3 linked regions of the Daphnia pulex genome follow. The protein of the gene in region 1 purifies or fractionates together with the protein of each later gene. This does not show direct contact. Links are inferred from orthologs where the notes say so. Each region holds a gene or a part of one and is shown in the gene's direction. Other genes may lie near its edges.

Region 1 (10,604 bases):
CGTAGGCTGCAGAGCTCACATATAAAAAAATGGCTACCTCTCCGACTAATTGGATTGTTTAGCCAAACATCCCTAAAATCTGACTAAACGAAAAAAGAGTTGATTATACTGCACAGAGAGGATCAAAAGCAAGTTTGACGTCATAAAAATTGATGATGTTCTCTGATTACACTGAGGAAGCGCCGCTGAGAGTTTAGTTCCAATATGTCCATACGGCACGCCAAATAAAAAGAAAACAAAATCGCCAAAGCTTCGAGCTGCGTGTGAAATGGCCGTTTGCCTCGATGATGGAACGCACAATTTTACTTTTTTACTTTTCCGGTGGTTCCAGAACGACAAACAAGTTCACTGACCACCGTCCACAGTTTGGTTCTTCTTTTTTATCCTTCAATTTTGAATTGTATTCAGCTGTCGTAAGACACTGAGCACATTTCTTCGTCGAAAATGACGAAATGACTCGCAAGAAAATAAAAAAAAACCCTGGGCTACGTTCTTCTCGATTGGCTTTTAAAAAACTCTGACGCAATTCGCATTGATTTCATTTTCAAGGCCCTGGAAAAATGACAAAACAATTTCGCTTTTCTCCCGAACAACCGCAGTGGGAATCTACATTTAAAAAAAAAAAGGAAAAAAAGATAGACGCCATTGAATTCGGGTAGGGCAGCTGTACATATCTATTTTATTTTAGATATATATTAAAAGGTCCCTCCTGGAAAAAGGTTCACTAGTCCGTAACAATCCGCGGCGCGCGTGTGTCGAACAACACACACACACACAGCTGCCCGGTGTGTTACATTATGAGTGACGAGCATTTCCGTTGAACTGGACGAAACACTGCCGACTCTCGTTTCCCGTTCGGGGGGGAGAGAAGAATAGTATAAGAGAAAGCAGACAAAAATTTGAAAGAACCGTTCGGCCACCAATTATGTCAGTGCGGTTGCACCACGGATCGCGTCTAATCACTTCCGCTTTTTTCTCTTTAATTTTAGGCCCTGAAAAAATTGAGTGACCTTTTCCCTGTGACTGGAAAAAGAAATATGCAGATTTTTCCCCAACATCCCTGGAGCTGGTTGGTAAAAGTAGTACACTGGGACTATTTTTTCTTTAAAAAAAAAGAGAACGAGATATTATTATTACCTGGCGTTGTGTTTTATTTCCCGAGGAGATTGCGTCTCGTCATTTTCATTGATTGTGGTCGGTCGTATATTGTCGAAAGCTGCGGCTATTTGTGGGTCAAATCTCCAAATGATGATGAACGGCCGCCGCCGTTCCATGCCATTCCGTGGGAAAAGAATTTTTGGCCGTCGGTTGAAAAAGAAAACGGACCATAAGTTTCTCATCAACCGCCAGCCGAGCTGCTATAGACCATGTGTTGTATTAGTCCGTCGACACCTTTTCTCTAATCAGAAGCTGGGGGGTTGATGATGAGCACCCAGGTGTTGATTGCCCCATCATCTACGAGAAAGGGAAGAATATCACAAAAGTATTTTTTTATTATTTTTATTATTCCTACGCGACTTGACACGGTCAACAATTTCTCTTTATCCGCCGTGGCAGTTTCTTTTTATCTAAAGAGAGAAACATCTGCTTTCAATTTGAATATACCTCCGTGACGCTGTATAACTTCCGACGAATATTCTCAATAGGTAGACACAAGCATTGGATACGCCGACTATATCCAGAGCTAGCCCATCATCATTAGCAACATGCTGTAAAGTATAATATCATTGTCCTAATGTAAAAATATTAAAAAATAAAAAAAAGTTTGGAGGCTTTCACTCTCACCGGCTATTGCCGGTGTGCGAACGCTTTCTCTTCTAGTGACGATCCAAAGATGATGATGTTCTCATTGAATGAAAATTTTCCTTCGACTTCTTTTTCTCACACATTAGCATTTTTAAGGTGGAAACAAACTCAGAAAACGTGAAAGTTTCGCCACACATTTTCATGTCTTTCTCCTGAAAAATTTGCATATCAGAAACTACACCAAATACCCAATAGAGTCGCAATGGCCTACAACATGCTCTAATCAGAACAAGGAATATAGCGACACACTATTCGAGTTGACACGAATAACACGTTTGGCTTCTTTTCCTCATTCTGGAATAACTCTAACATGGGAATGAAAGTAACTCTGCGCTAGTTTCAAATTCTCCACTGATTGGACAGCGAAAAATACCAAGGCCGGGGGAAAAAAATATTTTTCTAACCAACTTTCGCCTGAGATCTTATTTCAGAGATTTTGTGATCCCGTTATGATTCAAATTAATTATCACCCGCATTATTATCTCGTATGGAACGTGCTCTTTGAAACGATGATTGGGAAATTATATACTCACATACAGATGGAGATGGGTGGTGGTGGCCCACCCAGTGTATAAATATGTACATTTCCTATCTCTGCGACGATGCTGGTGCTGAGAGACGGTTCCTATAATGGTGTTGATTTCCAGGAGGATTGTGTGTGTTATCGGGAGCGATACCAGCAGAAACTGTAGTGGGCGGCGAGTCAGGAAAAAAAAAGTTCAAGTGCTTTTTTGTTTTCCATCTTGATAAGTTCCATCTTATCTTCCTATTTGGTCCACATAAACTATTAGACAGAACGATAAATTTTTTCAAGGAGATAAAAAAAAGGGAAAGAAGGAACTTGTTGAGAATTAAAATTCCGTTGGGGATAAACCCATCACAGCCAGCAGCAGACGGGACTTACTCGACTGGAAAACATTTTTCTTTCTTCTGCTACATCTGAAATTCGAATGAATGAATTATTTTCTTATATAAAATACATAGACGTTCACATCGTGTATTATTACCAAATCTACTAGGGAAAAAAAGGGAAATAAAACACATTGCAAGTAAAATCCCAGGGCTATATACTATAAGCCGGTTAAAGAAGAAAAAAAATAAGCAGTTTTGTCCATGTTTTTTCTCGACTTAGAAAAAGGGGAGTGAAGAAAAAAAAACATATTTATTCAACGGTCAACATCTGCCGATGTTTTCCTTACACCCACCCACCCCGGGAGAGAGCAGACACACACACTTTACTGTGTACAACTCAGAGAAAGAAAAGAAAAAAACACTGATATGTATAGACATATCAGAGTTAAACTTTGAATGTAGAAGATAATTGAAAAGCAATGGGCCAACTGAGCCCCAAAACATGTTGGTTGGCTTCCTATTTTCCCCCTCGAAAACGTCACCTATTGTGTGTGTGTGTGTGTGTCTTTCCCCAACAACTGTGCATAGAAATTTATCTTTTTTAGTTTTTCTTACCTGAGATCTATCCCCCCTTTCACTCCGCCAATTTGTTCCAGGTGGGCAGAAAAAGAAGATGAAAAGAACAACTGAAGAGTTAGAAGCAAACCAGGTAGGATCTTCAACCCATTTTATGACTGCTATTCGTCAGTGTCGCTAGACTCTCTCAGCTTCATTTTTTCTCAATGGAACACACACATACACACAGCCCAGAGATGATTCCATTGTGATTAGAAATCTTTTTCAGAATGAACTTGAGGACACTAAAAAGGGAAAATCGACTACCTCTCAAGACACAAACCACGTGCAACTCGGCCTTCTCACAATTTGTCACCGTGTCACTCATGACCCCTAGATGGCTCTCTATGCTTTCTAATTATAATTTCATCATCATTAATTTTCCCATTCTCTTCAGTAGGTTTCGACTTTCACTTCCTGGAGTTAAAATTTCTTTCAATAAAAATATAAAGTACACGAGAAATTGGAACTTTCGAGAGTTTTATTATCACAACTCTCAAACGGGAGGGGGGAAAATACACACAGACACACGCACACCTCAAAGTGACTTGCGCGCAAAGAGGCTGGCTCTTGTTTGCGGGAATGGCTAGAGGAATTTTTTTGTTATCTTGTTCCAAAAAAAAAACGGAAATCGAACGAAAAAAAAAAAGTTTTTTCGGAATGATGGTAGGTAGGCGTCAACAGCTAACAAACACACCAAGTCACGATAATCTACTCGCAAAATGAAGGAAACAAAGGAGTTTGGAGATTGGAAAAAAAAAATTTGTGTGGAAACAAAATTATAAGAAACTGCTTTTAAACTGAAAGGAAAAAAAACAGCACGTGTGAAACCAGGTGGATTTTTATCTTGATTCTTCTTCCTCCTCCTCCTCTCCCCTCTTTCATTCATCAGCCTCTTCACCACCTTATTGCGCCAGGTGACTACAAAGTATCGGCTGTGGTGATGTTGGTGACGAATGGGTTTAGAAGCATTTGCGATGGACGATGGATGGGCCTGACTCATCATACTCTTGCTTCGAGATCCACATCTGTTGGAAAGTGGACAGAGAAGCCAAGATGGAGCCACCGATCCAGACGGAGTATTTGCGCTCCGGTGGGGCGATGATCTTGATCTTCATGGTAGATGGAGCAAGAGCAGTGATCTCCTTCTGCATACGATCAGCAATGCCGGGGTACATGGTGGTGCCGCCAGAAAGGACAGTGTTGGCGTACAGATCCTTACGGATGTCAACGTCGCACTTCATGATCGAGTTGTAGGTGGTCTCATGCAGACCGCAAGACTCCATACCCAAGAATGAAGGCTGGAACAGAGCCTCTGGGCAACGGAATCGCTCATTGCCAATGGTGATGACCTGACCGTCGGGGAGTTCGTAAGACTTCTCCAATGAAGTAGAGGAGGCAGCAGTGGCCATCTCTTGTTCGAAGTCCAAAGCGACATAGCAAAGCTTCTCCTTGATGTCACGAACGATTTCACGCTCGGCTGAAAATTTAAATACAAATTTAATAAAATTGGCATACATTTAAAATAATGTTAAAAACATACCAGTGGTGGTGAAGGAGTAACCGCGTTCAGTCAAAATCTTCATCAAGTAATCGGTCAAGTCACGTCCAGCCAAGTCCAAACGTAGGATGGCATGGGGCAGAGCGTAACCTTGAATGAGAAAAACAAATAAGCCATGAATTTCGTGTTCCATTGTTTCGTGATTAATTGGGAAAAAAAAAATTACCTTCGTAAATTGGGACAGTGTGGGAAACACCATCACCAGAGTCCAACACGATACCAGTGGTACGACCAGAAGCGTACAGGGAAAGCACGGCCTGAATGGCGACGTACATGGCCGGGGTGTTGAAGGTCTCGAACATGATCTAGAATAATAACATTTTTTATTAGTAAATTTGGTTAATTGATTTAATAACAAGAAAAAATATCAAACCTGAGTCATCTTCTCGCGGTTGGCCTTGGGGTTGAGAGGAGCTTCGGTCAAGAGGACGGGGTGTTCCTCAGGGGCGACACGCAACTCGTTGTAGAAAGTGTGATGCCAGATCTTTTCCATGTCATCCCAGTTGGTGACGATTCCGTGCTCAATTGGGTACTTCAAAGTGAGGATACCACGCTTGGATTGAGCCTCATCTCCCACGTACGAGTCCTTTTGGCCCATGCCGACCTAAATACCAAAAAATGAAAAGCATGAGCATTTTCCCACTACTCAGGATTTTGAAAATCCCCCAAAAAACACCCTCCCACTGCAGAGGTATTGATTTAAAGTGAAAATAAGATGAGTATGCAGTGTAGCAGTGATGGATCAATATTCATAAACCCCCCCCCCCACTACTACTCGGCAAAATATTTATTGAATTACACCATTGGCTTTTGATGGACTAATTATCTAATTATCTTACCATGACACCCTGATGACGGGGGCGTCCGACGATCGATGGGAAAACGGCGCGGGGAGCATCGTCGCCAGCAAAGCCAGCTTTGCACATGCCAGAGCCGTTGTCAACGACCAATGCTGCTACTTCATCGTCACACATGTTGGAGCTGGGAGGTTAAGGTTAGTCTGTCAAAAGAAAAATTTAGAATGAGCATTCATTTCACAAAACAGTTCAACTGTATAAAGCTATAAAGAGAAGACTTTAAACTATTTCTTATCAGTTACGAAAGGCCAAGTAGGACAACTCATCCAATCTGTCAAAAACTGTCATTGCCCAAGCCAGACATTGTGAAATGCTCATGGCATCATATCTACTATCAGACGGCTTGTCAAAAGATAGGGGCGACGCCGCACCCACGTACTTAAATCTCGATCTGAGATAACAATCACCTTGGATAATGCCACAATGCACAAAACCATTAAAACTGTCAAAAGTCCAAGGACTAATAATCTCTAGCAAGGCTATGGGAATAGAAACAGCGAAACAATTTCGACAGAGGAAACACCGGTCTCACACAAGGGCAATGGGAGAAAATGGCGATTCCCCCAACGGATTTTTCCGTTTTCCTCGAGGGGTGTGGACCCCTATTGATTCGCGTATGGCTGCGTATTACTCACAGAGACGCCGGTTACAAAGTGGGGAGAAACAATTTGAATTTTGACGCAACAACGACTATGACACGCTTCTACGAACACAAAAAGACAAACTAGATGCAATGGCACACGTTTTCTATCGATTAAATTAAACTAAAAACGAGCAATGTTTAAAAAATGTAAAGAAATAAAATTCGGCCTTTACCGGAGAAAGCAAAGTTACACCAAAGCCGGCACCGCAAGCAATAACGTGGCGATGAGACGCTTGCCTTCCCTTTATGCCCTTCTCTGTCCCTTCCTCTTCCTTCTCCTTTTTAGATCTTGCAACGTTGTCGCTACGGCGTGGGGAGCTTCGAGAAATTAAGGCCGAAACGCTGCAACTGACGCCACCCCAACTTTCGATCTAAAAGCGCCACCTAACATGAAATCGCAAATTTTTAAAATAACAGTCAACTTGATATTTTATATGGTAACTATTCAAGCTAGATCGCTTTGAATGAATTAATAGATAATTTGAGGCTGATTTCATAGTCAACAGTCACCTAAAGCTAATTAAACATTGGGTTGCTGTAGCCGACACTAGGGGCGCTGGCGTACAACCACGGCGATCGATACGATCGCATCATTTGGGTTAACCTAGGGCCGAAGTCTGGTATTTGTGAATTCTGCTTGGAATTTACGTTGCCCCGTTCGTTCGTTCTTGCTTTTCCGTTGCCTTATATGGTCATGAATTTGTCGCTGAAAAAGAGGATGGGAAGTCCCACTCCCACCTTTAGGGATAAACCCCACCCGACCGCTTTTTCTACACTCCCTTCTATCAACAAGCCTACACGTGTCCTTATAAACGCAACACATTTTGACATCTATAGATACCTTTTGTTTTTACCATATCCTGCTCCAAATATGAAACTATCGTTGAAGAGATTGTAGGCAAACCAAAATTCCTTTCCTGTTAAGATTAGAGCGTTTGCATCATACTGTTGTAACAGAAAATTAACGTCGAGTTTGAGATCATCAATTGCGTGTTATAAATATAACGGCTTCAATTCAGACGACTAGAGACGCCTTACAGATGACAGCTGGCTTAAGCTTAACGGAATAAACAATTTCAATGCGTTATGCGTTGGCGACTTTTGAAGGTACATGCGAAAAAGCTAGAAAGACAAAACAAAATTCAGTTCATTCTAGCACAAATCATTTAGCTGACACAGTTAGACCCTGAGATTTTCTCCTAAATTTCTCCTCATTTTTCCCAAGAATTCCTGTTCCAAACAATTAAGCTCGGTCGTCTAGTCCAAAAGTTCCCAATTGTTGTACCGTTCCACAATAAATTGGATTGCATCATTCAAGAAACATCAAGATAAGCATTTCAGTGCTGCACCTTCATTCAAGTATTCAACCGGCTCCGTCGGAAAATGACGACGCAAAATGTCACATGGTTTATATACGAGTTGAGCCTCTGGTCCACAGGTGGCGTTCAAATCGCGTGACTTCAGACGAAAATACTTTTAACGCTTTTAGCCGTCAGCTCTGCACGTGAGAATATCATAGTTTTCGCCGGTATTCCGGTTTTTTCCTTTAATTTTCTTGAATATTCATTGCGAATATTAAATTTGTGCCATAAACGAAAAATGTCTTACTGCAAAGAAGAAGGTAAGTTACAAAGTTTGTTATTTATTCTCTCTGGTAATTCAGATAACCGAATGACTAATCGCACCATTCACTAAAGTAACGACATTTGTAAGTAGATGTATAGATACAAAAGTTCTTGTTGATTAGATTTTTTAAAATCTTGATAGAGTTTTGGAAATTGTACTTATTAAGCAAAGAAACTGGAGAATCAAAACTCAGATTGATTAAATCAGTGCCCCACTTCGATCCAATCCTAACTGTTCTCAGCTTAAAAACTATGAACTATACATATTTTGAACAAGCCTGAATCTCATTGAATTTAAGAATGCTTCCTTTGAAAAATGCTTGTTTGTTTGCTGATCTTTATTGGATTTCTCACTAAAAATATGCACACTAGACAATGTTTCAAACGGTGAAAAATTGTTATGTAATCTCCATCAATGAAACCAACATTTTTTGTAAAGCTTAAAAATCATCTGACACTTTCTCCAAGTAAACACAGCTTAAATGTAGCAGCTCTCATTTGAGCCCCAATTTCTACTGTGTTGAAGTAGTGGCTGAGGCATTATCCACTCCTTCTATATCTGGCATAAAATTTTCTGCACTACAGTCCCTGGTGTCTGATTTGCTGTACTTTGATAGTCTCTCTCTGTCATGAACTTGTGGTTTTTCACTTATACCTTAAATGTCATTAGCATTAAACATTTTTTTAATTATTCTGCAGGAAAAGACAAAATTGTCTTTCTAACTCCCGAGGATTTGCAGAAACCTAGCACACTCACCTTCCCCGATGAAGATGAGCCAGCAGGTCTTATGCTGCCAAATGGTGATATTAACTGGGACTGCCCGTGTTTAGGAGGAATGGCCACTGGTCCGTGTGGAGTTGATTTCCGAGAAGCATTCAGTTGCTTCCATTATAGGTGATAACACATTTTCAGTTTGCTTTTTTATTTGCCTACTAAATGATGTATTTCGTTTTTATAGCGATGCTGAACCCAAGGGCAGTGACTGCTTTGAATCCTTTAAGGCGATGCAAGAATGCATGTCCAATTATCCTACATTATATGGGAACGATGATAAGCCATCAGGAGAGGAGGACGAAGAAAACGAAGTGCCCAAAGAAGAGAGCAAAGAACCCTCAAAAGAAGATTCAAAATCTGAAGCTCAAGCAAAAACATGATGTCCATTATAGGAATTTAGAGCTACAAATTGTGTTTTAATTTGCTGCATCTCATGTAATAGCATTCTATACATAGTCATTTCTTCGTCGTCTACAGAGTTCCTTGGGTAGAAGGATAGAAAAAACGCTTCTCTGTTGCAAAAAAAAAATTAAAACTCGGTTTGAGAACAAATGCGCTTAAACATTTAACTTTGTATTTAAACTCAAAATTTTTAGAAATATTTCGACCCTAAAGGTGCTGTGAAGGAGACAAGATGCCGATCAGCAATGGCGTGAAGAAGCATTAAAGGCCACTAATTAAGTAGCGAATGTGAACTCAAATTTCTCCGTTTCCCATTAGGTAGAAATAATTTGTAATTCACCTTAATTCAGTAATCTTCCTCAAACAGCTCGAATGATGCAACAAGCCAAACGACGGCCAGTATTGCCATTGGCTAGACTCTCTGTATCACGATTTTGTCCCAAATCATCCTCCTTCTCTTTGATCTAGATTTTTTTTAGGTAACAACAGATTTAAGTTTTTATTCAAATTATACGCCATTTTAGGTTTCAGTTACCACAAGGGTTCGGTGTAGAATGGAATTAGGTCCAGTCATCAGCGTCGCGAGAGAATCGGTAAACATCGCGTTAATACCTTGGTTTTCAATAGCTTCCACGTTCCCGAAATCTCCAACGTGCCTAAAGCGGAAAATGGCGATTTCACGTCGTGTCATCCTGGAAACAAAAAGAATACCTTGTACGAGACTTTGGTCCTCCGTGAACAGAGCTAGTTGGGTTGAAGTGTCCTCCAGCTTGGTTGCAATTGCCATCCTCATCTGGGACGAGCTCGTGAACGTGCAATCCGTGCAGACTTTTCCCGTTTGTACGCAATCCCCTTAGATTGACGTGAACGTTTAGAGGGCCACCCGTCGTCTGAGTGAAAGCGACTTTGCCAACGATGTTGTGTTTAGTCCTCTGCAGGGCCTTATTCGGCTTCATTTCGCAAACTGCTTGATAAGTCTTGGAGCCCCTGGGTGGTTTGGGCGTCGTTACTGGCTTGGGCCGATCTGCTGCTGGTCCATGTCCGTCGTCATCTTCCAGATGTTTAAGCAGATTTTCGTTGTGATGCGCAGCGTGACCGTCGTGATTCCTCAACATGAAATGAACGTCAATTTCATGCTCAATCTCCTTATTCATCTGGAGATGAGGTAAGTATAGATTTGATTAGCAAATGGTATCATTAATATTTTTATCCTATTTTTAGTATAGTAATTACTTTGCCGTGGTGGATGCCGTTATGCTCTCCGTGGCCGTGGTCCAGCTCCAAATGCTTCAACATCTTTTCATCGTGATGGGCTTTGTGTTCTTCCTCCGTTTCGAAACTTGCGTTGGCGTGATGGAACTCGTGTTCGTGGCGAAGGACTTCCTGTTTTTTTTACGGCGTTCGTAAAATGAGAAAGTATTCCAATTAGATTATCTTTGCCATAAGTTCCAATTTAAAAAAAATAATG
Region 2 (10,014 bases), on another chromosome or scaffold:
GTTTTATATGGGTGCCGAAAACGTCAAAATAGAAAGTGCCGAAAAAAGTGCCGAAACGGGTGGACACCGTAGCCAGTTTACAAAAATAAAGAAAAACATGCAACCGTGTTAGTCCTTGAGTTCCGCCAATGCATAGCACATATAACTTTGAGTTATTATATGGTAGTTATGGTGACTCTCCCTTAAGCTGCATCGCTGCCTCCGTTGTTTACCTCGCCGCTGCCTCCCTCCATCTTCCACGTTGTCCCTGGCCCCATGTCTTACCAGAACGGCGTTTAAGTTGTGGCCTAATAAAAGCCCGAGCCCGTCGAACAACAAGGATACACAATGATTATATTGAATATGGGGAATAAAGACGGAAATCAGCTCAATGGAAAAGAAATACATTTTTTTAAACGATCTCTTTTTCTTTAAATGTTAATTCTTAGATAATAAATATAGCAAATTCTTTTCGCTTAAATTTGTTCAAGTGACACATATCAACTCATACACTCAAGCCCAGTATGTTTTAATTTTGTGTTTCTATTTGTATAAATATTATTTCACCTCGTTAACCTTCATAATTTTTCCTTATTTAAAAATGTAACAATTCACGTTCCTTGCGATGAGTGTCGCAAACTGCAGCTGAAATTACGAATACGAAGCAGTAGCACAATCTTTCTTTTGTTCAGGTTTGTGAGGAGCCGTATGACTGATAGCAACGAAGTCGCAGAGCTGAAGGAGGCAACAACATCCAACAGGAGATTTCACTCATTTCAGACTGCATAGTAGCCTACTTTCAAATTTTATATGTTCATCCACACACCTGGAACTTAGCAGACCTTTTTTCTTAGCTGGTCGTCGTTTTCTTGGTTTTCTTTTCTATCTAACCCCACTTTTGTGCCAAATACGTATGTATACGTAGTTCCCAACATCATAAAGAAAAGTGACAAGAAAGAGGCACAAACTGCTATGGTACATATATTTCCGTTGGGCAAACTTGTGTCGCACGGAAACGCGCGAGGAACGCGCGCTCGTTTCTGACGAAAAGGTTTATGAATTGAACATTCAAAGGTGGAATAGACACAACACTTGATCGTCAAGTAAGCTCAACAATTATCTATTTCTTATACCTCTCCTTGTAAACAAGTCAATGGTAAATAATTTATTACCGTAGGCTGCTATAGCGACGTGCAATTTAAACGTCTAATTGAGTTTTATGTAGCTAATAGTTCAGACTTATGCTTACTCTTCTACTCAAATCAGCATGAAGTGCTTGGTACGTAGCCCAAACAATTCGCCTCTGCAACGCATATCATTTAACCACCCTGAAATTGAAATCATTTGTCTGTTGTTTGTTTCCTTGTAGATGGTTTTGGCTGTTTTGGTGGCTGCCGTTGCCGCTGCTCTCCAGTACTTGCCTTATGCCGGCTTCACTGGACTTCCCTACGCCGCTGCTCCCGGAGTCCTGGTTTCGCATATGCTGGTTATAGCGCTTCCCTCGGCTACACCGCTGCCGCTACTCCCGTCGGCTATATGCTGCTGGCGCCATCTTCGTGCCATGTCGGCGCTAGAGTCGTGGGCTCGTGGCCAAGTACGAGCGCGAGTATGAGCCCGTTGAACAACATGGATACCAAATCGCTTAATTAATCGTACTCGAATGGAGCAATAACAGCTTTAAAAAACGACCAGTTCTTTAAAAAAAAAAAAAACAGCAACAGGCGATTAATAATAATATTAGCTTTATAATATTGTCACGTACAGTTTAGTACAGACGTCGAGCTTAGAGACAATTCTGGGAAATTACGATAAGGGGACGACTGACGACGATGACATAAGGTCACCTTGGTTCCCTCTACTTTAAAGACGACCCCCTGTAGACTTAAGGTAGACGAGTTTGGCCCTGACTGGTGTGTGGGTCTCCCGTTTTGACTGGTGTTGGGCACTGTCGTCGGTCTGTAGTGACGGCAGTGCATGTGCTTTGGCGGAGGCTGGGCTCGTGCAATCGTGGAGCCAGCTCCGTGAAACTGCAGCACTGGTCGGCCACAGCAACATGAAGCCCGCATAGGCCCGGCCGTGACATTTGGTGGAGATGCAGGGTAGGCGGATGCTTTCACGTGTGGCTCGACCAGATGCGTTTAAGTGAGTTTTCGAACGATCTCTTCGTTATCCTGATTGGACGTGGGCGACCCGTTGGAGACAGCGATTCGAAGACGCGCATTGGATTGCCCTGGATGGAATAGCTGACTCCCAGAAATTGACGGACAACGGCTTGCGTTCCGTGGCCTAAGAATAAGTTTTTTTTTATGTCCAGTTGTTTTTTTTATCGTTGTCATTGAAATACGCGAGTTGTCAGCATGCTAGCTTCTGAGATTGAACTGTTGAAGCGCTATTGAGAATCTGCTGATATTCGGTCTTGTAATTAACGTTACGCAAAAATGGCAACTAGAGAAATTCGCGGGGCCAAATATTTGGGAAATAATGTTTGCGTTCGATTGAAACCGTTAATTTTGATCTCAAGACTATCACAGGGTTAGTTTCAGCTGTAATTACGTTGTTGATCTGAACATCAGTCAATTATTCCCAAGTTCTCACGACGGACTATTGTTATTCGTACGTTGGACCCACGTTTTTACATTAACGGGAGCGTATACAAGCGTGTAGTGTTTGGGAGCATGGGATAGCAACGCGCGCTCGACCGCGCGTTTTGATGTGCGATTTCTGGCTCGCTCAGGAAACAACGCCACTCGTGCTTAATTTTGTCTGCGGCGATGTGCGAATTCTGTTAGGCCGAACCAGGTCGAGGGATGCTGAAAACTAATGCGAAGTTATTTCGAATCATCCTGTTTTTATGGTCCCTCCGATTTTGTATGGATTTCCAGAGTTAAATGTTTTGGGAGATTCCGTCTAACAAGCGTTAAGCGTCCGTTTAAGCTGAAGTAAACTGCGCGACTGAACCGATGTGATGTTGATGTATGAGCGAATAGAATTTATGTGTTTCAAAGGATTTTAGATGCATCTAAGCTAGCGGCTGAATTGGGATTGTGTATAGGCCTAATAAGATGCTGAAGCTAATAACAAAAAAACCACCAGTGTTTTTGAGTCTGTTTCAGGTAGAATGATAGCCGATGGAGCCAGATGTGACGGATGGCGTTCGATACCTGAAGTGAAGCGGTGGGACGGCCAATAACAACCGGAATGTACCAGAACGGATGCAAATGAACCAAGGAGCTGCCGGATCAAGATCGCGGCGAGAATAGCCGAACCGAAGTCGTGGTCGGACTGACGTAAGGGTCGTGTTGAAGCATAGTGCAGAGCGCGGAGCAAGTCGCAGAGCGCAGAGCACAAGCGTGCAGAGCGCAGAGCGCAAAGCAGGGCGCAGAGCACAAAGCTGAACACAGAGCCCGGAATTGAGTACAGAGCTCGAAAGAAATGGTGGCCACCAAGCGCGTCGCGAACCATGGTTGAGAGGCCTCATTAGCGAAGGCAATGATTTCGCGAAAGTCTGTAGCTGCAGCAGTGCGCCGTACGGAAACAAAAAGAATTGACCGAATTGAACTGCGGAGCGTCCTTGCGATTTCCGTAAAAGTTTATACAGTTGCGTAGAACTGTACAGGGCGTCGTCGTACGAGTGAAACAAACGCTCGCCGAAATAAAGTCGTATAGTTGAGCTGCGTACAATTATGTCACAAGCGGTGTGACCGGCACGTCGAGTTGCGAGAAAGTTATCGAGCGAAACAATCCGAAACCGTCGCCGAATAAAAAAAAAATACCTAATGCGTCGTAGATTTAACCTTCCGCCGTATACGATTCGGATGATCGAGGTCGATCATTCCATTAAGGAGGGGAAAATGTCATGTACAGTTTAGTACAGACGTCGAGCTTAGAGACAATTCTGGGAAATTACGATAAGGGGACGACTGACGACGATGACATAAGGTCACCTTGGTTCCCTCTACTTTAAAGACGACCCCCTGTAGACTTAAGGTAGACGAGTTTGGCCCTGACTGGTGTGTGGGTCTCCCGTTTTGACTGGTGTTGGGCACTGTCGTCGGTCTGTAGTGACGGCAGTGCATGTGCTTTGGCGGAGGCTGGGCTCGTGCAATCGTGGAGCCAGCTCCGTGAAACTGCAGCACTGGTCGGCCACAGCAACATGAAGCCCGCATAGGCCCGGCCGTGACAATATTATTATAAAGCATTTAAATAATAATAGCTAATTATTTATTCTGAAAGTTTTACTGGTGACGTAGTAGGCTGCAAAGCTACATAAACCTTGGAAGCCATCTATTTTTTACACCAATATATGATAATGTCACAAAAGATTGGTCCAAATAAACGATCTGATACATTACTTATTTTTTATGGAATGTGCATTCGAGTACGCTAATAATAAAACACCTATTCTTCTTAATTTTAGATAAGAATTGCATCATACAGAACGACTGAAGATAACAATCGCCGACTAAAACTTCAGAAATATACAGTACAGTTTAGATCGTTTACGTCGACACACTTACACGATCTACCGCGGCCCGTGACCAAAAATTGCTCCGAATCAATGTTGATACCTATTCTCTGATCATTTCGAACCGTTGGGGCACTTCAGTAATCAGTTGTCAGTTAACAACAATCAGTCGATAATGCCAAACTCCTTAGTCCTTACTACGAAGACGCGGAGAGAACAAAAAAATTCAATATCACCAGGAAATAGTAGTAAACATGGCGAATTGCAGTAAAAATTTGAGCGGTAAATTTTTTTGTTACTTTGGCGCTTCATAAAACTTGTCATAGACGTATCTCTTTCAATTGATTTGAAAAGTAGCGGGAAAATAGAAAACTCAGCTCCATCTGCTGGGGATTTGAATTGAAAATGGCGAGTCAACAAAGCGAGGATTTTTCCCCCCACGGAAATAAAGGGATAAAAAAACCTTGTCGAGCATGTTCAGATTTTAAAACATGGACTACCAATTTAAACCAAAATGCCAATGTTCAGGAGAAAATGAATAGTCAGGTAAACTGTTATGTACTATCTTCTTTTTTTAACTACTGCTCTTACCCAATCATATCCTTTTCTAAGTTTTGTTAGGATGCATCAAAGGAACATTATTACTGTTACATTACTGAGATCCTCAAAATGCTAATTAATCAACTTCCAATGTTTTTATATTTTGAATAGATTCCTCAATCTACTGCTGCTGAAACAAAGTCAAGTTTTCTGACAAAGTCTTCACACACAGTAGAGAAAACATTTCCAGAATGCCCCTTGGATCGTCAACAATTGGGCAGAAACTCTTGGAGTGTTCTCCACACAATAGCTGCATATTATCCTGAAACACCTACTGTTGATCAACAGAAGGACATGGTTCAATTCATGGCACTGTTTACAAAATTCTATCCATGCACTGATTGTTCTGAAGATTTCAAAGAGCGGTAAGTGAAACAGCTTATTTGTGAAGAAAACTTGCTTACAATTTTTGTTTTCCTATAGATTGATTGCAAACCCACCTGCAACACAGAACAATTTTATACTATCTCAGTGGCTATGTGCCATGCACAATGAAGTTAATGTTAAGCTAGGGAAACCAGAATTTGATTGTAGTTTAGTTAACCAGAGATGGCGAAATGGATGGAAGGATGGATCATGTGATTAGCTTGTACAATGTATTCTCTATCATTCAAAAGTGTTCCTCTATGATACAACAATACACTAAATTAATATTTTGGATTCTGATGAAATCTGATATATTTCGCTGCATCTGGATCATCATCTCTTTTAACTGTAAATTTAAACATAATAATAGCATTAGTATTATACCACAATACACCTACTGTATATCCTGACTTTACCTATATAATGATCTTTAAAAGGTCTTGATACTTCCATCTTCGACGATCGATAGACTCCATAACTAGCTAAGCAAATCCCTTTATAGAAAATAATCATGTAGATGTCATGTAGAAAATAATGTGTGTCTACTGTGTCAATGATAAATTGGTTTAACTGTGTGAATTATTTAGAAACATTACCCGAAATTGTAAGACACATTCCTATCATAATATCAGGAACCTCGATACATCCTCGTCGAAATAACTGAACGACTGTAAACAGATCAGATTTATACTTGCATTAGTAATTTTCGTACTTTTTAGAAATCAAAATCTCAAGTCAGATGTGCAAATACTTTTCGAACTGGATTGAGCAGCAGCCATGACTTGTTTTTTTTTTAAGTTTTTTTCACGAGGAAACTCTTCGTCTTCGCTCGAGATTGCTTCGGTATTCAGCGAAGGTGCTGCAACCTAGGTTTCTTAACCCACACTATAGATTTTCGACTTTCGGCTGACAGTCACTAGGCGGCTCAACAGCGCTGCCCTCGCGCTGCCCCCTTCCAGGTATTTAGGTCGTTGGTATTTGCCTCAATTACCTTACGTTTCGTAACAGAAAAACAGTTAATAATTAAGAAAATTTTATCTAGACCGGCGCGCCACAAATTACAATAAGAATAAGCATTTTTCAACCATGATTGCATGCAGAAGGTCAGAGAGATTTCTAAAAAAACATGTTTTCTTATTTTGACCGTTAGATGGCAGAAAATAAAGAGGGAGAAATACAGAGGTAAAAAAAGTGGGAGGAGGTAAAAAAAAATTGAGTTTTTAAATTTCAATCCTTTTGCTCACTAAAGCTGAAGTCAGTTACTAGAAGAATAATTGAAAAAAGTAAAATCTTCACCTGATTGTCATAAAGTGTTTGATAACAACCCTTCAAAGAGAAAATTTTACCAAAATGGATCATAGACTTCCAGGTCCTAATTCAAACATAGCTGAAAACATTAAACAGGCAAAAGAAAAGGTCATTCAAGTTTACGACATGCTGCCAAATTTTTGTTCAAATGAAGGTATACATTGAGTTGGTGCACATCAATTTTAAACTTTTCTTCATTAGTTGATTCTTACATATAGAAATTCCTGAATTACTGGATGACCTCCGAAGTGTAATGAAAGACTATGTCTTGCTCGACACAAAATACAAAGACCTTAAAACAAGCAAGCAGAAAGTAATTCAGTTATGCACTGAAAAAGTGAAGAAAGACATTGCAGAGGGTAGAGAAAGCTCAGTTGCTTTCGATGAAATCAATGAAGTAAGACTTTACTTATTAAACTTGTTAATCTATGGAAGCACACTTAAACAAGTTTTAATCTTTTATCTGTTCTACTGTTTAGTTGTTGAAAAATACTTTGAGAAATGAAATGGAGAAACATCATGAAGGGTTTTTGGAAAAAGATCCTTTGTACATCACTATGAAGAATTTTGGTGAAGATGAAATTAACAATGCAGAAGACCAAGCAATGAATAATGAAGACGACCTGGCAGTCACTGGAGAAACCATTCAGACAATTGATCCTTATTCAAAGAAAGAATTTTCTGATCCTGTTAAAAACCTGAACTGTAAACACACATATGAAAGGGAAATCATCATGGGACTGATAGCAACAAACTCGAAAACCCGATGTTATTGGATGGGATGCAACAATCGGGTGGCTATTAGAGCTGAACATCTCGTTTCTGATGATGAACTGAAACGTTACATAAATCGACTGAAAACAAGAGCGGCCATTTAATTTTTGTTGGTTATTTGAATCCATTCCGCGAAATTTCTTCTCTTTGTACATGTCGTTCTTTCTCTTTTGAAAAGAGGAAGAAAAAAGTCTTTTTTAACACAGATAACTCTAAAAACCACTGTATGCATAAAGCGAATAAAGGAATTTTGAACCAGAGACGATAAAAGATTGAAACAAAGTCTAAAACAAATAATATTTATATTGTTCAATCAAAGGTTTAATTAGTTCTTCATAATGAGGATTGTAAAGAAATAATATTCTCAGATCTGATCAAGTGAAGCAGGGGTGTGGAGAGATGGTTGCCAATGACCATGTTAAATTTCCCATAAGGGGATTCGACGGGAAGCTACTTATTTACTAGCGACTTTTGTGTGGAGGCATAGGGAGGTCTCTTTGAATCAACGCCATCTAGGCTGTTGCGACATATGGACATACAAAGAGACCTTTTAGTAAAATGAGCGAACGACCCCTTTTGGGAAATTTAACATGGTCATTGGCAACCATCTCTCCATACCCATGACTATAGTAAACTAATAGGTTTTTTTCGGGGGTTCCCAAAAAATTGTAATATTTTTTTTTAAAATGAACATTATTTAAACTTACTTTCTAAGTAAGTACCTGAAAACAGTACGAAGTCGAACAATAGTCTTTCAGAAAATACCACTAAACATTTGTAGCTACAGAGTACAGACCATTTTTAAATCTAAAGGTAACCGCAGAGCAAAAAGTCGTGCGACTCGTCGACTAGTGCGCACCCTAGTGGTGGTTTGGGGTTTGGAGAACTGCTGCTGCAAGTTTTTTTTATTCCGCTTACGAATCCATTTTTGCTGTAGGCTGACCTTTTTTTTGGTCAACTATAACACGTGACTAGCAGACCAATCACAAGATCTGTCCATATGGGTAATGGTTTATATGGGAAAAACGGGTCTGATACTGATACTCTGATTATAACAATTATTCATTGATTCTTTAAATAAATGAACTGAAAACCTAATGTACATTATAAAAATGTGTTCAAAATTTTGTTTACTTTCATTATCATTTACAATTTTTAACAAGCGATCCGCCACTCAAAGAGACCGTTTTGGGGGGTTTTTCATTACGCGGAAATCGTCGCTGGGGGTTATAAAAATAAACAAACAGATGGTTCCTGTGCAAATTTTTTTTCGCTAAGTAGATTGGAAAAAACCGCAATCGCCTAGCGTTTGTAGTTTGGGAGGTATTACCAAAAAAAAATCAAGGGGGGGGGGGTATCCGAAATTTTGACTTTTTTGGTTTTATGCAGCAGTTTTCTCGTAAACTGCTGCACCTATATATATAATAAAATTTTTTTAAATGATGGGATAGCCCACCTCTTCAAACATTTTTTATATTTTTTCAATACTTGGCTTAAAAGCCGAGATACAGTACCTACCTAAAGTTTGGGAACGCGCGAGAGAACCTTATGGAAAAAGGCGTTTTTCTCGGCGTTCCCAAAAATCCAATTTTCGTCGGATTACGATGAATTTTTTTTTGGCCGTAGCCATTGTGGTTATCATGAAGCTGATTTCTTTTGGATTTTTCCTAATAAGGGAAGGGTAGCTTTTGACTCAAGCCCTAAATTTGGGAACGCTCCGTAGAGCTTTTTATCAAATTAGGGTACTTTAAGGGGGGATAACTACAGAACGGGTAGAGCTAGGAAGATGCGGAAAACTCTGAAATGAAGAGAACATTCTTCATTTTCAGATTTTTTGTGTCATATTGAATGTAGTCGGGTTGTCACCCCCTCATAAGGCCGCGTTTTCTCTGTTTAACAGAGAAAACGGCGCGCGGGGTGGAACTTGCGCTTGTCTAACAAAGGATTGTACCTACGTTTAGTGTCAAGCGTGATACAAATTTTAGTTCTCCTATCGGCCACAATGGTGCGTATCGGCGTAAACTGCGCATGACTTTTTTCTCGACTACTACTTTTTGATTGGAATACCATCTATATGTTAATTTTTAGAACCCCCAGTGACGAGTTCCGAATAATCAAAACCCCCCGAAACGATTTCTTTGAGTGTCGGATAAATGAATCACTTGTTAAATGAATTAACAGTTCAAAAAATCAGACAGCTCAACAAAATATTAATATTCGAGCCGTGACTAAATCCGCAGTAGTCTTTAACAAAAATACATCCTGTTAAATAACCATAAACTATAAGCATGCAAGAACCCCCCCCCCCAAAAAAAAAAAAGAAATTACAAAACAATAAGTATATAATTTCCAAAGCAATTATACATATTTTATTTTCGCCAATGAAGTTTTATGGACTGAGGAAGAACATAAAACAAAAGTTAACATTGCTAAGTTAATTATTTGCTGCAAGGTTTACATGGAAGAACTAATGTTGTAAGCTCATCGTGTTAGAGAAACTCCCGTCTTTTACGGGAATTGAC
Region 3 (10,154 bases), on another chromosome or scaffold:
TTCACCCAGAAACTGGGCACAACTACTCTTCAGAATCCATCACTGTTGATGTCTACGACCACAATATTACTAGTAGACAGCTGAGCCCTCCAGCGTCTAGAGGGAGATACTCATCGTCAAGCCAAAAGAGAGCTGCTTACGGTAATATTATTTCCGCCTACAATACGCAGAACGCAGTATAATGTGAAACATGAAAAAAAAAAATATATTATTAGCGTACTTTAGAAAGGCAGAGCTATAGATACCTGGTCAGTTCATGGCTGTGTTGGCTTCCCTATCCCGGTTTCAGGGTAAACGTAAGCCGATTTGGAAGAATGAATGAGCGCCTCTAGTGAGTGTGTCAGCTACTACGTGAAGCCAGCCAATCAGGAAGGGTCTATGAAAAACTCATTGGCCAATCACAGCTTACTTTTCTACAAGAAGTAAACAATAATAAAAAGGAGAAGTATCCAACTGTCAAACCTCTAAGTTTTATCTAACTTCTAAGTGTCCTATCTTTTTAAGTGTCCTCACATTTTTACATTTTATTGTTTGGTTGTGTAAAAAAAATATGTGGTGTAAATACATGGTACGTTTTATTCTTAGTTACTTTGAATTTTATTCTCTTTCTGCAATATTTCGATCTTAACACGCCAGCTGAGTCCAATATACCAGAAAGACGAGATTAAAAGTTAATATTTATGAACCTTTAATGAGGAATGCATGAACAAATTTTTCGATCGTTGAAATCCTTTATCAATTGCGTTATATTTTCAACTGTTGTGAAATGGTTTGACAAAGCAGTAGTGCTTGATGGAATGTTCTTTCCGTTGACATAATACATTACTTCTTGTTTGTTTTGAAAATGTACACTTTTCACATTATAATTTCCATTTGGTAGTTGATCCATCGAAATGCAATAAATCATTTGTTTGATTTGATCAAAAGACCATATCCAATTCTTTGGTATCATTGATAAAGTTACTAGTGACTGAAATGTCACAAAATTAGACTTGAAATTAGTAGAGCTTGCTTCCATAGAAGGTGATGTAACTGTCGAATCTTCAATGACAACAGCAACGTTTTTGTTCATTACATCAGGAAGTGGATCAAAAATAGCTTCTTCAGCAGCCTGGGGAATGTCCATTGATTCTTGAATAGTAGAGGTAGCTTCCATAGAAGGCGATGCAACTGTCGTATCTTCAATGACAACAGCAAGATTTTCTTTGCTTGAATCAGGAAGTGGATCAACAATTCCTTCTTCAGCAGCCTGGTGAATGTCGATTGTTTCTTGAATAGTAGAGGTAACTTCCATGGAGGGTGCTATAAGATAAAATTAAAGCAATTGCTCTTCAAAATAAAATGTAAAGAGAACTATTATCAATACCTGTACTGTCAACTTTTTTTCTCTTTGACGTAGTAGGTGGTTTGTCTACTTTTGGTCGTTTCCTTACTGATGCATTGCTAGCATTTGCTTCCACTGCAATACATATTTAAGAATAGCGTTATTTGATGTTAAACAAAATAAACATATGTAAAAATACCATTAAGGTTATTTCTCCATTTAAAACCATCAACATTTTACATTGCTTGTCGGCTAGATTGTATCTAAAATGAAAATGGTTTAGTTTCTGTGTGACATTAAAGATTTTACAGGAAAGGAAATACATACCATTTATGAGAAAATGTTTGGGAATTGCTCCAGCATTAAGATGCCTACGTTGGAAAGGATGGAACACGTTAAAAATTTAAATCCCTGATTTAAAGTCACTTTCGTCAAAATGACGGGAGCAAATACGTGAGGTGCTCGTCAAATTGCTACATGGAATTAGTTCTTGCCATTTTGATAATGAAGTTTTAGGAACTGCAAACAAAGTTACATCATTTTCTTTTTGATTTCCTTTGTAATATGTTGTTTTACAACCAGGAACAGCACACCTGCCAACCATTTTTACAGAAATTATGGTTAGGCTTCATTCACGTAATACACGATGATGGCCGCCGTATTCACATATTACACAAAAATGGCCGCCGAAAGTATTCAACGTCTTATCACTAGATGGCGCTGATTCATTCTTCCACTTCACAACTTCTGACAAGCTCCGCCCTAAAACCCCCTGAAAATCGGCTTACGTTTACCCTGAATCCGGGATAGGGAAGCCAACACAGCCATGAACTGACCAGGTATCTATAGCTCTGAGAAAGGTAATTCAGCGCCACGTACAGAAATTGCTGCCGTTTTGAACGGTAAGGGGCACTAGAGGGAAAACCGAGGCACTAAACGAATTTATGATGTAGCACGACAATGGAGCAGATCGCAGAATCGCTAGGCCGCTGACCGTTCAACAACATCCGTTTTGCGGTTTTCCCAAGTCCTCAATGCATTTGATTCTTTTACCACGGTTGGCAGTTGTGTATAATGGATAACTTCCGTTTTGTTTTTCCGATTCGTTGTCTTATAACGCTTTCTGATTGAAGCGATCTCCGTGAAAATCTATTATCCCAAAATAACTTTACAGATTTCACTTTTTCGGCTTAAAAAATTATTCACCCTTAACTTAACACCCTAATAAACATACTCTAGTTGCCAAGTTGGTCGTCCATTACAAAAAAGTTTCAACGTTTGCGTGAGCACGCCGGTATTTACTGGATTGGCTTCATTTCAACAAGACATTTTCCCTTTTTTTTCATTTTAAAAATATTTGTGACGCCACTATTGTAAGCGTGACAAAGCACGTAACCTGTGGGTAAAAATGGACCAGATAAGATGCAAAATCACGTCCGACTCTAGTTACCGCGGAAAAGTGACGACGCGGATCGTGCGTTCGCGAAGGAAGAAATTTCAATTAGTAATTAAGACACGCGTGGGCTTTGCAGTATTTTCTTTTCTCAGCAGAATTTTAAAAAGAAAATTAATATATTTTTCCATGATCTATAAATAATTCAGCACTAGAGTGCACATGTCCAAGAATAATTTCATTTTTTGATTTTTTTTAATCTTTAAAAAATGTCACGACTTGAAATTTCCCTTTCACAGATGGCGTTTTAACAATAATGCTAGTCCTTTAACAGATGGAGCGCGCAGTCTGGCAGTGCAGACGAAAAATAAAGTAGTCCCTAGCCGCAAGCCCGCAAACGTTTGTGTTATTATACATGTACCAAAATAAAAACAAATTCGTCAAGTTCTGTTATGGCATGGAATTTCAAAAATGAGGAAGAGGTGAAACAATTCTCTGATAAGTTGGGAAACGACTATAGGTTTGGATGTTTCAACGAAAAGAAACCTGAAGGTGAGATCGGTATTTGTGACCAATGTTACCGGTAAAATCTATTGCACTCCGGAGTCCGGAGCGCTCTAGTGTCAAAAGTGGCTATTGCACTCCGGAGTCCGGAGTCCTCTAGCGTCAAAAATGGCTATTGCACTCCGGAAAGGAAACATGTAGTACTTTCATTTGGCGGCGAATGGCATTCTGTTTCTGTGTTTTGAAATTTGAATGGTTTTTATTTGAATTCAAAATAAATAACAATCAAATATATTTGAATTTCACTAATAAATACAGATAGTCGGATAATGATAGTAGTAAGATGGAACTTATATTTAGTTATTGTTAACTTAGCTAGAGTACTATGTCCAACATTGAATCAGTACCTTAAAATTCAAATTGTAAATATAGTTAAGTGTCTTGCAACAGGAATAAAGGAGAATTTATAAAACATATCAATTCAGGGTGATATTTCTTGTTAACATTTTTAACTTCTTGCTCTATTTGCTAAGGTGTTACCACAATTCCTACTCACACAAAATTCTTCATAAGCCTCGATATCAATATCACCAAAAGGATTGGAAATCAGGTATTTCTGTATTTCATTGCAGTTTATATTACACAGAGATCATTATATTCAAAGTAAGGATTTAGACAGGTTGTTAAACACGCTATAAACACACGACATAGTGAGTCACCCTCTGACACCCCCATACTTGCCTGAAGGTCGAGCCGGAATTCTCAGAACGGGGCTTCGAGGGGTTCTTTGTGACCTTGAAACGCATTGACCAGCAACTCACTATTTCTGCTGATTGACACGTAACGTGTGATTCAGCTGATTTCACGCTATAAACCATGCAATGTCCGTGTCCCTTATTCCAATAAACTAACAGCTAGACACGTCTTTCATATCTTGAAACAAAACAATACATAACTAAGTTAACATGCAGTTTCCTTTATTATAGTGAGAATATCAAAAGACATTTTAACTGAATTGTGAGTGCGAAAAAATACTTGGTATTTTCGTGTTCAGTTTCACTCGGTGCTTTGTCATCACATGAATGAACTGACAATGAAAAAGTAATTGATTTAAGAGGGGAAAGAATTGGCACATATGGCGGCGTCAATCAAAGATCCTTTAAGAGCGGAATATGGAAGCGCCTCGTCCTTTGATGATGGGTTGCTTTGGGTTCAAACGCCGAGGAGAATAGAGCAAGAAGTTGAAATGTTTATCAAGAAACATCACCCTGAATTGATATGTTTATACATTCTACTTTATTCCTGTTTATTTGCAATTTGAATCTAAGGTACTGATTCAATGGTGGACTCTCCGACTCTAGCTAAGTTAACAATACTAAGTCCCATCTTTTATACTGGCTAATGGCTATTTGTGTTTATTAATGAAATTCAAATATATTTGATTGTTATAAATATATTGCAAATTTATTTCTTACCCTTAATTTAATTTTTAATGAATTCAAAACCAGTAAAAACACAGAATCAGTCGTTATTTGCCATTCGTCGCCATAAATGACTTCATATTTGACTTCATATTTCCTTTCCGGAGTGCAATAGCCACTTTTGACGCTAGAGGACTCCGGACTCCGGAGTGCAATAGCCACTTTTGACACTAGAGCGCTCCGGACTCCGGAGTGCAATAGGCGTGACCAATGTTACCACGTTCACACACTTAATGGTTTGTTTGTTTGTTTGATGCAGTATGCCATCTTCTAGGAGATTTCATGGAAGGCTTCAAAAGGGATTTGAAAAAAGCCGCTATTATATATCGATCCACTTGTGATGACTACAGTTTCAGCCACAGCTGTCATAAATATGCTACCTATTCATTGACTGGTAAAGGTAGTCCACCCGACTACCTGAAAGCATTTGAATACTTTAAGAAAGGCTGTCATTTGGAAGATTCAGGCTCCTGCTTTTTTGCTGGCCTTATGTGTATGTATGACAATGAAAACACTAAAATTAAACAAGATTATCTTCAAGGAATGGGATTTCTGAATCAGTCCTGTGACAAAGGAAACCACAACAGCTGTCACTATATCAGTGGGATATATTTTTTCGGGGTTCCTGATGTTTTGAAGAAAAATATGGCCACAGCATATGACTACAGCAACAAGGCTTGTGAACTTGGAAATATATATGCTTGTGCAAATATAAGCAGAATGTACAAAAAAGGTGATGGAGTTGAGAAGAATCCTGAATTAGCAAATGTATATAAGAAAAAAGTCATTGTTATGGGAAAGGAACTGAAAGATCAATTTAAACCCGTTGAACTGGAAAGGGAAGCCTGAGACTGAGAGTCTGAGACGTCGAGACTCGAGACTCGAGAGTTTAGTTTGAATTGTGTTTTTTAATATTTTGAAAAAGAAATGTGATTTTTGAATAAAAATTTAATTAAATACTTTTGTTTCTACTTCTTCTTAATTATGCCTTCTTAGATTAAATTATTATTTTTTTTTTATCTCCTTCCAAATTACAACGAAACATGGAAATCTCTTCATAGATGGAGTCTGTGAGCCTTGCAGACGAAAACGAAAAATCAACTTTCAAAGTAACCAATGATGTAACATTCTAACAAAGTTTAAATCTTAATTCCATTTGTATTAATTCAGAAGAAAATATTTACATTTCCGTCATGGCGTGGGATCTAAAAACTGATGAAGAGGTGAAACAGTACTTGGACAATTTAGGAACTGAGTACAGGTTTGGATGTTTGAGCGAAAAGAAACCGGAAGGTAAGTGCCGGTATTCGTGACCAAAATCACGTTTAAAGTAATGACGTAATGATTTGTATGTTGCAGTATGTCACCTTCTGGGAGATTTCATGGAAAGCATCAAAAAAGATTTCAACAAAGCAGCTTCATTGTACAGATCTACATGTGATGACTACCAATTCAGCCGCAGCTGCCATAAATTTGCTTCTTATGCTTTAACTGGTAAAGGTGGTCCTGCAGACCCATCAAAAGCATTTGATTACTTTAAGAAAGGGTGCAATTTTGGAGATGCAGATTCTTGTCTGTATGCTGGCCTTATGTGTACAGCCAACAATGAAAAAATTAAAGTTAAACTAGATTACCCACAAGGAATGGGATTTCTGAACCAGTCGTGTGAGAAGGGGAACCACAATGGCTGCTACTATCTTAGTGGCATGTATTTGACTGGTGTACCTGAAGTTTTAGAAAAAAACATGACCTCTGCCTTCAATTACAGCATAAAGGCTTGTGATCTTGGTAATATATATGCTTGTGCCAATGTTAGCAGAATGTACACTAAAGGTGATGGAGTAGAGCCGAATGCTGAAATTGCATTACAATTTAAGAAAAAGGTTTTTGAAATGGAAAAAGAGCTGAGAGGTCAGTTTAAACCTATTGAAATGGAAAGAGGAGCCTAAGATGTTCAATTTGTGTTGATTGTAAAAAAATAATAATAATATAGTTTAACGAAATGTATTCGTACTCGTCCTGAACATTACTATTAAATTACTTTTAAAAACCCGAGGAAATAATCAATAACGTAACTAGAAAAAAGAAATAAAAAATTTTTTTATGAAGTCTCCGATCTTTTTGGTAAATTGCGATGGCCCAATAATGGTATTATGCAAATACCTTGTGTACACAAAAACAGAAACACATTATCATTTTATATACGTCTCGAAATGTCAAGCTCCTGTTGTTCAGACTTCCGCAGAGTACTCCAGTTCTCGATACCACCAGTAGTTGACAAATACAAACATTGTGTATGATGGCCTACCTCCCAGCTAGCACGAGTTCTCCCAGATAGTGAACAAAACACGAACACGTCAAAAATCTCCGCACACATTTTTTCCCTCGTTTTGTGAGTGAACATATCACTCTCAGTTCACTCCCAAAATGTATACTTTTTCTTACTGCTCACAAATCCCGCACAAATACGAACAAGCTAGTTTTATAATAATTTTGACATTTTTTACGTTTAATAAAACTGAATGATAAATTTACTCAAAAACACCAACTTTTCTTCTATGAATTGATTATGTATTGATATTCACTCAATTTTATTTTCCATGAGAAGTGGAAAAGCCACATAACGTTCACCTCCTTCTTCAGCCTCTTCACAATTAAAAACATTTGGTACAAGAAAAATTTTATGCAAAATGAATGCTACTGGCCATAGTTGTAAGGTAGGAGAAAGACAATCAACATATTTGATAGACAAAATTGAATTCGATTCAGAGCCTTTAATCCTTTCAACAAATAATTCCCAGCACTCCCGGAGAGATTTTTGTTCGTTACGAAGGTGGCCAAGAAGTTTCGTAACTCAGTAGCACCATCGACATCGTTGTCATCTACAAGGATTTCTTCAATATCAGCGTGATGGAAGTCTTGCTCGTTGACTTCATTCTTCTCAGTTGCATAGTCTGAGTCGCTGTCCGAAGAGTTGTATGTCGATGAATCACAGCTTTCTAAAGGGACACCTTCATCACTGACGACACTTTCCAAATCATATTCAGATTCTAGTCCTTCATAAAATGATTCGTGGCTTACAGTGCTCTGTCGAAGGCTATCATCCCTTTCTATTTGGTGAACGGAGAAAAACTCTACATTGTCATTGTTGGAGTCATCATAGGATATTTCCTCTTCATCGTCACCCATAAAGCCGCTCTCTGTCATAAATTCATCCCCCAGCTCACGTTCGTTTCTTCTTCAATGGCATTTGTCAAGGTGTGCAAAAAACGATGGCGCAGTTGACGGGGTTTGACATTTTCTTTCCTCTTCTTAAACAATTTTGACATGCCTACTAAAAAATGAAAGGTTAAAGAAAACCTTGAATAACAACGGTAGACAACTATTGTAATTATTACCTCCAACAGTCCTTGTCTTTCGCAAGTTTACAGAATGTTCTGAAAGAGCCAACTTATCCAGCCTCAATTGGACTCGCAACCTCTAAATCTAAAAGCAAACAGCACGAGTATTAAATCAGGTTTACATCTATGAGGTATTGTCTCCAATTGTTTGTACCTGAGGATGAGTTTATTTTTTACAGAACACTAAAAGCTCAATGGCTAGTTTATAGGAAGTATGATGTGTTTACTTTTTAGATAATCATAAAAAACACCTGTTCAAAATATTAAAAAAAATTTCATCAATATCATTTCCATGAATGACAAGTGCTGATTAAATTTTTTTACCTTATTTTAACTGCAACAATAAAGATCTCACAATCAATTAAGTCCAGGGCAATGTAATAAGTGCAGTTTTTAATGTAATGAAAGCCAAGCACTAATTTTACGTGTCAAAAAGGACTGATCCGGACGCCATTAAAAAATGCAACTGTAATTTTGACAAGTCCCAATTATCGATAGTTAAGAAAATTGCAGTATTGACATGTTTGAAACGTAGAATTAAAAACTTAATTTTTTATACAATGTTTGAATCACCATTTACAACTTATTTCAAAATTATATAAAATTTAAAAAAATTAACGAACTCATTAATTATCGGTGCAAAAGCAGAACTAATTTTTATAATTAAAAATTTTTCATCTGGCGACGTTGTTGTCTACTATAGCTTGTACGGAATTAGTAAGAAAGACTTGAACAAATGGCGGATTTGATCTCGTTAATGCCATCTAAAAATTGATTTTTTCACAATATTTCGCACAGAAAAGGTGAGAACACTTGTTACTTATGTAATGAATTACAACATATTTTGTTTTCAGTCAAGAAATTTTAAGTGTATCGTAGTATATACTTTTGCTAAGCAAATGCCGGTTGATTATCATAAAGGCCACGCTACTTCTATACATTAGAGATGTTCACAATCGACAACTTACTGTATTTTATTTACAAATAGGATCTTGGAATGACTAAAACCGCCATTTCATGGAAGTATATATTAGCAGAATTGTTTGTGGAAGACAGAACAGAACTTGCAATAGTCTCAGAGCGGTGGACCATTGATGAGAATGTTCTTAAGTATCCGTCCAACTTGAAGGGACCAAAAAGGATGAAGAGCATAATGGATCATGTTATACCAGAAGATTCCTGGACCGAGTATGAATACAGGAGGATTAGAGTCTGTGGTAAGTTCACTCATGAGTGACATTTTGCATTAACGATATGATGTTATATTCCTTTGCTGACACTGTATTTATCTGATTTCAATAGTCTCAGAGAGGTGGCCATTGCTTAGGATGTTCTCAAGTATCCGTCCCACATGAAGGGACAAAAAAGAATGGAGAGCATCATGGATCATGTAATACCAGAAGATACCTGGACCGAGTATCAATACAGGAAGGAGGCTTAGAGTCATTGGTAAGTTCACTCATGAGTGACATTTTGCATTAACGATATGATGTTATATTCCTTTGCTGACACTGTGTGTTTATCTGATTTCAATAGTCAGGTGGCCATTGCTTAGGATGTTCTCAAGTATCCGTCCCACTTGAAGGGACAAAAAAGAATGGAGAGCATCATGGATCATGTAATACCAGATACCTGGACCGAGTATCAATACAGAAGGCTTAGTCTTTGGTAAGTTCACTCATGAGTGACATTTGCATTAAAGATATGATGTTATATTCTTTTGCTGACACTGTGTGTTTATCTGATTTCAATAGTCTCAGAGAGGTGGCCATTGCTTAGGATGTTCTTAAGTATCCGTCCCACTTGAAGGGACAAAAAAGGATGAATAGCATCATGGATCATGTAATACCAGATACCTGGACCGAGTATCAATACAGAAGGCTTAGTCTTTGGTAAGTTCACTCATGAGTGACATTTGCATTAAAGATATGATGTTATATTCCTTTGCTGACACTCTGTGTTTATCTGATTTTTAAAATAACTACATTTCAATTATTTCACTTTAGGTTACTGGAATCAGGCAAAAGAAATGGATCAACGTGCAGCTGAAA

Evidence for each region.
Region 2: the proteins of mitochondrial intermembrane space import and assembly protein 40-B-like (region 1) and FAD-linked sulfhydryl oxidase ALR-like purify together in Homo sapiens (co-immunoprecipitation; 3 studies listed by BioGRID and IntAct, with this or other methods). This does not show direct contact. The link is inferred for Daphnia pulex from reciprocal best matches to the Homo sapiens genes CHCHD4 and GFER.
Region 3: the proteins of mitochondrial intermembrane space import and assembly protein 40-B-like (region 1) and cytochrome c oxidase assembly factor 7 homolog purify together in Homo sapiens (co-immunoprecipitation; 3 studies listed by BioGRID and IntAct, with this or other methods). This does not show direct contact. The link is inferred for Daphnia pulex from reciprocal best matches to the Homo sapiens genes CHCHD4 and COA7.

The regions. Positions count from the first base shown.
Region 1 is NC_060023.1:8,612,716-8,623,319, reverse strand, and holds mitochondrial intermembrane space import and assembly protein 40-B-like, read left to right. Parts: upstream 1-7,771; 5' UTR 7,772-7,933; coding exon 7,934-7,955; intron 7,956-8,658; coding exon 8,659-8,854; intron 8,855-8,918; coding exon 8,919-9,114; 3' UTR 9,115-9,199; downstream 9,200-10,604. Other genes in the region: actin, clone 403, read right to left, coding at 4,236-4,753, 4,817-4,924, 5,001-5,139, 5,208-5,438, 5,674-5,808; uncharacterized protein LOC124197866, read right to left, coding at 9,496-9,600, 9,672-9,792, 9,848-10,290, 10,370-10,519.
Region 2 is NC_060026.1:4,967,014-4,977,027, forward strand, and holds FAD-linked sulfhydryl oxidase ALR-like, read left to right. Parts: upstream 1-4,821; 5' UTR 4,822-4,849; coding exon 4,850-4,990; intron 4,991-5,155; coding exon 5,156-5,409; intron 5,410-5,467; coding exon 5,468-5,630; 3' UTR 5,631-5,702; downstream 5,703-10,014. Other genes in the region: E3 SUMO-protein ligase NSE2-like, read left to right, coding at 6,761-6,872, 6,937-7,115, 7,198-7,596.
Region 3 is NC_060019.1:6,007,741-6,017,894, forward strand, and holds cytochrome c oxidase assembly factor 7 homolog, read left to right. Parts: upstream 1-5,665; 5' UTR 5,666-5,811; intron 5,812-5,872; 5' UTR 5,873-5,895; coding exon 5,896-5,995; intron 5,996-6,061; coding exon 6,062-6,651; 3' UTR 6,652-6,811; downstream 6,812-10,154. Other genes in the region: uncharacterized protein LOC124191332, read right to left, coding at 689-1,294; cytochrome c oxidase assembly factor 7 homolog, read left to right, coding at 3,170-3,269, 4,962-5,551. UniProt on the Homo sapiens protein: Required for assembly of mitochondrial respiratory chain complex I and complex IV.